2 linked regions of the Caenorhabditis elegans genome follow. The protein of the gene in region 2 interacts with the protein of the main gene of each other region in a pairwise test. Each region holds a gene or a part of one and is shown on either strand. Other genes may lie near its edges. The genes, in order: nefr-1 and snb-1.

Evidence for each region.
Region 1: the proteins of snb-1 (region 2) and nefr-1 interact in a protein complementation assay, tested with the Caenorhabditis elegans proteins (one study listed by BioGRID).

The regions. Positions count from the first base shown.
Region 1 is NC_003279.8:3,437,345-3,442,297, reverse strand, and holds the start of nefr-1 (Protein kinase domain-containing protein), read right to left. Parts: upstream 3,200-4,953; 5' UTR 3,191-3,199; coding exon 3,119-3,190; intron 3,060-3,118; coding exon 2,954-3,059; intron 2,935-2,953; exon of another isoform or gene 2,862-2,934; coding exon of another isoform or gene 2,788-2,861; intron 2,685-2,787; coding exon of another isoform or gene 2,604-2,684; intron 2,553-2,603; coding exon of another isoform or gene 2,165-2,552; intron 2,114-2,164; coding exon of another isoform or gene 2,024-2,113; intron 1,753-2,023; coding exon of another isoform or gene 1,266-1,752; intron 448-1,265; coding exon of another isoform or gene 221-447; intron 170-220; coding exon of another isoform or gene 110-169; exon of another isoform or gene 76-109; intron 1-75. Other genes in the region: Y47G6A.13 (non-specific serine/threonine protein kinase), read left to right, coding at 110-169, 221-447, 1,266-1,752, 2,024-2,113, 2,165-2,552, 2,604-2,684, 2,788-2,861; Separin homolog sep-1, read left to right, coding at 3,765-4,508, 4,559-4,718, 4,776-4,953.
Region 2 is NC_003283.11:6,655,054-6,658,552, forward strand, and holds snb-1 (Synaptobrevin-1), read right to left. Parts: upstream 1,449-3,499; 5' UTR 1,419-1,448; coding exon 1,302-1,418; intron 1,169-1,301; coding exon 956-1,168; 3' UTR 509-955; downstream 1-508. Other genes in the region: syx-18 (t-SNARE coiled-coil homology domain-containing protein), read right to left, coding at 1-36, 293-395. UniProt on the Caenorhabditis elegans protein: Involved in the targeting and/or fusion of transport vesicles to their target membrane. Acts in neuronal exocytosis of synaptic transmission. Likely to have a role in cholinergic transmisson.

The sequences.
Region 1 (4,953 bases), on a different chromosome or scaffold from region 2:
GTTTTTTCTTTCACGAAAATAAAAAAAGAAAGTGTATAAAAGGCTGAATAAATTCAAAAATCAGTTATTCCTAAGTTTCAAAGTTTTACTTTCGGTGATTCAAATCAATATGACTAATAGTGATAAGTCTACATCGTCGTCGGCATCTAAAGTTATGCGTCCAGGACATGTAAGTTATATTATCCAATTCAATTGCAAAAATCATTCCATTTCTATTCAGATAATCGACAAATGGAGAATTAAAGCACTTTTGGGCAAAGGTGCGTGCGGTGTCGTGTACAAGGTGGAGGACAAGAACCGTAAAGGGTATTGTGCAGCGATGAAGGTCGAGTACGACTCGGAAGAATTCGATCGAACACTGCAACTCGAGGTGAATGTGCTGAGCAAGTTGACGGATTCACGAGATGTCCTGAAGCTTATCGACTATGGGAAGAGGAAGCTTTACAGGTTAGCAGGAGCACAGCACTTTTCTTTGAACGAGGGACGAGGAATGCGGTTTCTAGGCCATCATCACGTGGTGCCAGACTGTCTTAATACAGTTTGATCTTCAAAAAATGCGGGAATTGTTTCCCAGAAAAATTGTGATGTCAGAACGCTCTAAACCATGCGGAATCAGATGAGATCTCTGAGTCTCACCTCCCGCATTTTTTGGAGATCAAAGCAAAATAGGACTTTCTGACTACACGTGGGCCGAGGATCCGACAAGATTTAGTGGCAAGCTATCTTACTTTGTTTTCCGCGTGACTTTTTTTGTTTTTCACAGATTTTTCCCCGTTTTTTCATATTGAAACTGATAAATAAATTTTTTTGCAGATGCTAAAACAATTTCCAAGTGAAAAATTGTGTATTCACTTTTAAATTGCTTTCGCACTTGCAAAAATATTTATTTATCAGTTTCAATATGAAAGAAAAAACGGGAAAAATCTGTGAAAAACAAAAAAAGTCACGCGGAAAACAAAGTAAGATAGCTTGCCACTAAATCTTGTCGGATCCTCGGCCCACGTGTAGTCAGAAAGTCCTATTTTGCTTTGATCTCCAAAAAATGCGGGAGGTGAGACGCAGAGATCTCATCTGATTCCGCATGGTTTAGAGCGTTCTGACGTCACACTTTTTTCTGGGAAAAATTCCCGCATTTTTCATAGATCAAACTGTATTGAGACAGTCTGGCACCACGTGATGGCCTAGAAACCGCATTTCCTCGTCCCTCGTGGGGAAAAAGTTGCAGTGAGGAAGCGTAGAATTGTGCGAAAACTCGAATTTTCTAGATACATGGTGACCACCCTCTGCGGAAAGGATTTGATGGCACTTCGCATGAAGATTCAGCGAGGCTTCAACGACGCCACGGCCATGCGTGTCGCAGTGTTCACGTTGTACGGCTTGAAGCAACTACATGAAGCTGGATATGTGCATCGAGACGTCAAGCCGGGGAACATAATGACCGCGGCCAACAAGGGAAGAGATGCTCGAGTCATGTTACTCATCGATTTCGGGATGGCTCGGACATTTGTGATGGCTGGTGACGATGGCAAGAAGAAGCTTCGCCCGATGAGAAGACGCATTCCGTTGAGAGGAACGATTCGATATTGTTCGATGAATGTCCACGAGCGGAAGGAGCAAGGACGATGTGATGATCTCGTGGCAATGATCTACAGCATCGTGTATCTGACTCTCGGGCTTCCCTGGTCGAATTTGAAGGATGAAAAGGAAATTATGTCAATGAAGAAGTCGACAAAGGACCTTGCACTGTTTGAGGTGTGGATTTTTGAAAACAGGGGAAATTCGAATTTCCGAAACGCCACATGGTGTCAGAAAGTCTCTTTGATCTACAAAAAATGCGGGAATTGTTCCCAGAAAAATGTGACGTCAGCAACCCTGCGAAATCAGTTGAGATGTCTGCGTCTCTTCTCCCGCATTTTTCGTAGATCAAAGCAAAATGAGACGTGAAACCCGGAATGAACCATCAAAAATGGTACTCACAAGAAAATGCATTTTTCGGCATTTTGAACATTTTGCACATTTACAGGATCTCCCCGACGAGCTCAAATCAATCTTCGAGTACCTGAGAACTCTGAGCTACGCAGATCGCCCGAACTATGAGAAGATTTATAATCTGGTAGCGTTTTTCTCGAAATAGAATCCGATTAACAATTAAGAAATTTTTCAGCTGATGGCGGCTATCACCAGACTGAAGATCAACTTTCTGGATCCATATGAATGGGAAGACGACGAGATGGAAAGAATGGCAAAAGCTGAGAAAGAGGAAAAAGAGAAGGAAGAGAAGGAGAAAAAGGAAAAGGAAAATAAGGAGAATGAGTTGTCTGCCGATTCGATGAAAACTGCGATTCCAGCAAAGTCAGCGAAAGCCGAGTCGGAAGTTGCTGGAGAGGTTGATGAGCAGAAGAAGGTGAAGGATAACAGTTCCGGTGAACAGCAGCAGGATACGTTGAATGTGGATAAGGGCAACAAGTTGATCAGTGCAAAAGATATGGCTAGCAGTCGTTCGGAGGTTAACGAAAACTCGCAGTATGGGACTCCGGCGAAAGCGGGAAATTGTGAGTGGATTTTTTTCCCGACAGAAATTGACATTTATACTTGCTTTTCAGCTGTTACGGGAGATTCAATCGACATGGAAACTGCCATTGAATGCGATCAAATGGAATACAACTCGAAGAAGGCGTTGCCAAGTGAGAATTTCATGTTTATAACCTCGAAATGGGCTAAAATGAACGAAATTTGTTAATTTGAGCACATTTTGAGTCTGTTCAATCAAAAATCTCTATTTTACAGGAGACGAGCTTCAATTCGTCGTATATCCGGCAATTGCTCCTCGAAACTTCACCGAAGTCAAAATTCCCTTCTGATGCGACTTGAAATCATTCTCCCGAAGAATTCTCACTACTTTAATGACAATAAATGTTTTTTGTGAGGGGAAAAAATTCAGGAAAATGCCTACTTTGTTCGAGTCGAGCTTGCATTCTCTGAATGTGCTTCTTTTTCTCGTTTTGCACTCGTTGAAGTTCCTCCTTTATTCGTTCGATTTCTTCCTCGTCGAGAAAACTCTGGAAAAAAGTTGTTGGTTTTTTTTTCTAAATTCATTTTTTGGATCGTTATTAAGAACCTCGTCGGCTTCTCTCGATTCCATTCGCTTAAACGAGTGTCTCTTTGTCGGCGCTTGCTTGATACGCGGCATGTCGACTGAAAAAATGTAAATAATTCAATAAACAAGAAAAGTTTTAAACAAAAATTAAACGAATTTTGGGGCTCAAACTTTGAAAAGTAGAATTTACCGCACTGTCGTAAAGTTTGGTGTTTTGTACGCAGTTGCACCGCACGCGCATTCACGGACTTCAAAATCGGAGGGAAATTTTTTATTTTTGCCTCGAAAATCGTTTCATTTTCAATTTTCCTCGATTTCCGGTGAAAATCAATAAAAAAACTTGCTTCAACTTGCTAAAACTTGCAAAAAAACTTATTTTAATTCAAGATCTGGTGGAATTCCGGATCTGGCACCGTGCCAACTCTTATAAGAGATTTTTAAGAAAAAGTGACAACGTTGCTCCAATGTTACGCGTCGCGTATGTGAAGCGTATCATCTAGAAGAAAATTTTTTAAATTTTTTAGAAGATAACGTGCGTTGAAACCCTTTCATTTTCAATTTTTCCTCGATTTTTAATGAAAATCAATCAAAAAACTTGCTTTTTATGTATGTAATAATGTTAATTCCATTAAAACAGTTTAATTTTAATTTTTCTAGATAAACTTTCATGAAGATCACAAACAAGTCAGTTGACAAGCAGCACATCGAAAAACTAGATGAGCTACGCAAAAATGTGAGCTGCACGGTGATCGGGTTTGCCGAACAAACTGCCGAGTTGCAACAGGAGATTTCCGAGCTTTTTATCGCCGAATTCGGCGTCAATGGACCGATTGACATGAACTCGCTGAGCAAATTGGCTCGAATCACCTCATACTACGCCTCGTCCGAATACTTTCAAGGACTTGCGAAGTATCAACGAACCGCATGCAAAATGTTCATCACGTGGCAAACTCTACGAAAGGAGGCGATGGAGTGTCGGAGCAAAGATCGAGAGATTTTCGCGAGTATTCCCGCGAAACTCTGCTTTTTCTACTTTTACAACGGAGAACTGTGCAGAGCAGTCGTGTGCCTGCTCGACTACATCGACCTATCAGACGACACTCTGGCCAAGGAAGCTGCTCTTCGATGGTTGATGTTTCTCGGCGAGACCGAGCTAATTGAGAAGAAGCTGAAGACGTGGAAAATGGATAAAAGCTCGAAAGACATGTTCTCGGCTACCGAATTCGCGATGAACTACCTGAAAAAGTCAGAGTATCGCGTGGAAATGCTCGAAAAGCTGATGAAGCTTCGCGATAAAGTCAAATCGGATCCTACTCGCTCATTTTCGAGATACGAGTTGGCTTCTTATGTCTCTTGGTTGTGCTCAACGTTGAGCAATGTTCCCGTTGGATCCGCACTCAGGGAGTGTGAGGTATGAAGCGATGGTTTTGTGTTCTAAAATATATTTTATAATTATTTCAGTTCCCGGATCGTGTGTCCCATATTCAAGAAGCAGCATTAAAAAGTGATTCACTTGTGCGTAATCGAATTCCTGGCCTCGCCAGCTCTCAATTCGACAACTCGGTTAATGCATCAATTTGGCCATTTCTAGACGGGCATCAAGAAGATAGCAATTATTATGGTATAAATTGTTGAAAAAAAAAATATATAATTTCAAACACAATTTCTACATTTTCAGTGCACATTGGCAGTACAATCGCTTGGCACTTTGAGATGCGTCGGGAGTGTGCTCTCGTCAACGTCACCACCGCCCAAACTCGTGATTCGATGTCGGCAATGATTCTGAATCTTCGTGTCGCATTAAAATCGGCTTCATTCTTTCGAGTTCTTCAGACAACCAACACATTAGCCTACTA
Region 2 (3,499 bases):
CTGGAGATGGACGATTTTCATCACGACGGTAGTCTCCTGAAATTTGAAATTATTCATTTTTGGAATGTTTTTAGAACTATAAAAATTAGAATTAAATCATCAAAATAATTTCGCTTCAAAGTTTTATGGCAAAAACGAGTTTATCTGAAAAGTTTGTTAAAGGATATTCCATAAAAAATCTTAAATGGTATTTTTGCAGAATTTTTTTTCTGATTTGTTGATGTGTCAAAAAACTTGAAGTATCCGATATTTAACGTTTTTTATTAAATATTCTATCCAAATTCTTCCTCACCCGGTGGCTTATTGTGCCGTCTAATGTGCTTTTGCTCGATTGATGTGGCAAGTTCTTTGAACTGTTGTGATCGATCGATAAATGGAGGTTGAAATATCGTCATTCTGAAAAGACCAGGCCCACTAAATTTAAACAACAATTGTTTTTTTTTCAAGTATCTAAATCTGAATATCTACACAACAATCATTCAATCCATTCAAAAATTTTGACAGTTTTGAGTTTTCAACACCATTTTATTCGCATCTAATGGGTAAATTTCCGGGGGGAATGAGAAGGCATGTTGTTAGTCTGAGAATAGGAAAATTCTAGAAAAACATACACACACGAGCTCGACGGAATCCGCGGATAAGCTCATGTGGATGTGGGATCACGCAGCTTATCGCGCCGCCTAAATAAATTAATTTCAGAAATGGATGATTTGCGATCAACCAGAAAAAGAATATTAAGAAAATTGACAGATTGGATGGGGATGTGGGGGGAAACGTATAATTCAACTATAGTACAATGAAGAGAAGAAGTTCAAAATAAGAATAGAATACTCAGCTTCTATGTTTTAGAAAATGAAAACAGATGAAAATGGGCAAAATGTGAAGGGAAGAAGTTTGGGGGAAAGAAATTACAGCGTTTCGGGGGATTTTTTTATCCGGGACAAAGGTCGTGTACTTATTTTCCTCCAGCCCATAAAACGATGATGATAATAAGAATGACGACGATAGCGCACATGATGATCATCATTTTGATGTTCTTCCACCAATACTTGCGCTTCAGGGTGGCCGCAGATTTCTCAAATTGTGAAGCACCTTCCTGGAGAGCGTCAGCTCGGTCGTCCAGTTGAGACAACTTCTGATCACGCTCCAAAACTTTTTCCACGTTCACCTGAAAACTATTTTTCGTGATTTTATTGCAAAAAGGGGAATTAAGATTAATTTAACACGCTTATAAATTGTAAATGGGATCATTTCAAAAATTGCGATTTTTGTTATTTTAATTGCACATTTCAAAATCTTACCTTCATGATTCCGACGACTTCATCAACCTGAGCTTGTGTCTGCTGGAGACGTTTGTTGGATGGTCGTGGTCCGCCCTGACTTCCTCCCTGTGCGCCGGCATCTCCTTGAGCGTCCATGTCGTCAAGATGGTCTTATCCGGCTGTTCCCTGAAATGAAGCGAGTTAGAAAAATTTAAAAATTCGTATCGGAATTCAGAACTGGAAAGTGAGGTAAAGGAAGAAAACGACAGGGGGGACGGCGACGCCCATTTATGCATGAAAAATTGAGCACGACAAGCGACACGATGACGGACTAAAGTGCCCTCTCAAAAACGAGAACGACTAGAAAATTTAGCTATTTTTGTATAACGGGATTACGAATATTTAACGAAATTATAAAATCGCGATGTTCTGAAATTAGGAAAATAGTAAGGAACGATGAGAACAGGGAAAAGGATGAAAAAATAAGAAATGGGGTCAGATGACGAAGCGATGAATGGAAATTCAATGAGAGATGTTGCGAAATCTGTGCAAACACCGATAAAACATTTTGCGTACTGGGCATTATGACCTACGCGCATCTCTATTTCGGGATAATCGATAATCGGTCATGACCGTCATCCATTCACTTTCAATCATCGATTAATAAATAAATTGAAATGATAAATAGAAAAAAAATGACGGGACGGTTTTCAAAAAACTGGTTTTCACTGCTGTTGTATGATTACGTTTTTACCAAGAGGCAGTCAAAAAATAAAAAAAAAAGCGAGTGGAGGTTATAACTTGTATTAAATAGAAGACAACACATACAGTGGGACGCATTCCAGACAAATAACGAAGCCACTTTTTATTGCTTTGCAGCCAGAATTGTGGGAGGCGAAACTAATAATGGGAGACGAAGAATAAGGCGAAGAAAGGAGAATGTCCCATGCACACGCTCCAGTTCTCTTTCGTTTTTTTTTCTTATTTTCTCTAGCCGCATGATTTTGCTCGATTTCACACAAATGGAGCTAAATTCTTTTGCAGACAAAACGAAACGAGAGAACTGAATACAAGGAAGTTTTCAGCAGGTTACGTGCAACGGGTGGACTACGAATTTGAAGCCCGAGGCATATCTTCGAGAGATGAGAGGAAGTTTCAAAATGAATAAAAATTCAACTTGAATTTTCCTAGAAAGGGAGAAAAAATGAAATACTTGAACACACGTCATGGTTGCTGAGATACCCGAACTGAACAATAAATTTGTCAAAAAAATGTGGCAGCGATTCATCATTCTGTGTTGTTGGAGAATGCAAGAATAACTATGGGCAACAATGTCGGAAAAACCAAGATAAAGTTACGAAATTCAGAAAAAAAAACAATATTAAAAAAGTGCTGACTCAGTCCATCATATCAGCTGACAACAAAAAAGACACAGACAGAAAACAGAACAGGGAAGATTGGGGGATGGCTAGATAGGAAATTGAATGTCTGTTGTATTGTGTACAGACAAAAACACAATTAGGGAGGTAGTATTTACCGAGAATAGTTTTGAAAAAAATAAGTAAACGAAGCGATTATACTAAACTCAAACACAGGAATACAGGTTTATTGGGATTAGGGCTGTACAACCGGACGTCCGGTCGTCCGAACCGGACGCACATGCGTCCGGTTGGGGGTAGCTATCCACGACGGCCGACAATTTCCGAGTTTCGCGACTCACTATAAAATTGCTGATTAAGTATAGTGAGTGGCGAAACTCGGAAATTGTCGGCCGCCGTGGAAACCTACCCCAAAACCGGACGCAGTGCGTCCGGTGGTGTCAAAATCAGACGGCCGGACGCTGATTTGTACAGCCCTAATTGGGATAATTGCGCGTAGAACCTAACGGATTCTACATATAGTTGATTTGGTATCTTACAATCGAGAGTAATTCCGAAAAATTTTCAAAAACTAATTTGAACAAAATTCAAAAACGTTATAGTGTTTCATGTTTGCGTATCGCTAAATTTCGAAACCCGTACCATGCCGAGAACCTAAGTACAGTAGTTCTCCTTTCAAATACGGTACTTTCGTGGTGAGATATCGGGTGGAAGTCTGAGGGTCTGATATATCAGTTACACTTATGCGGCTAGCTTGACATCACTAAATTAATATTTAACAGTCTAATTGAAATGTCAAAAATGTAGAAAACTGATCTTGAAACAATTGTAAACAATGCGACCCATTGACTTTTTTTG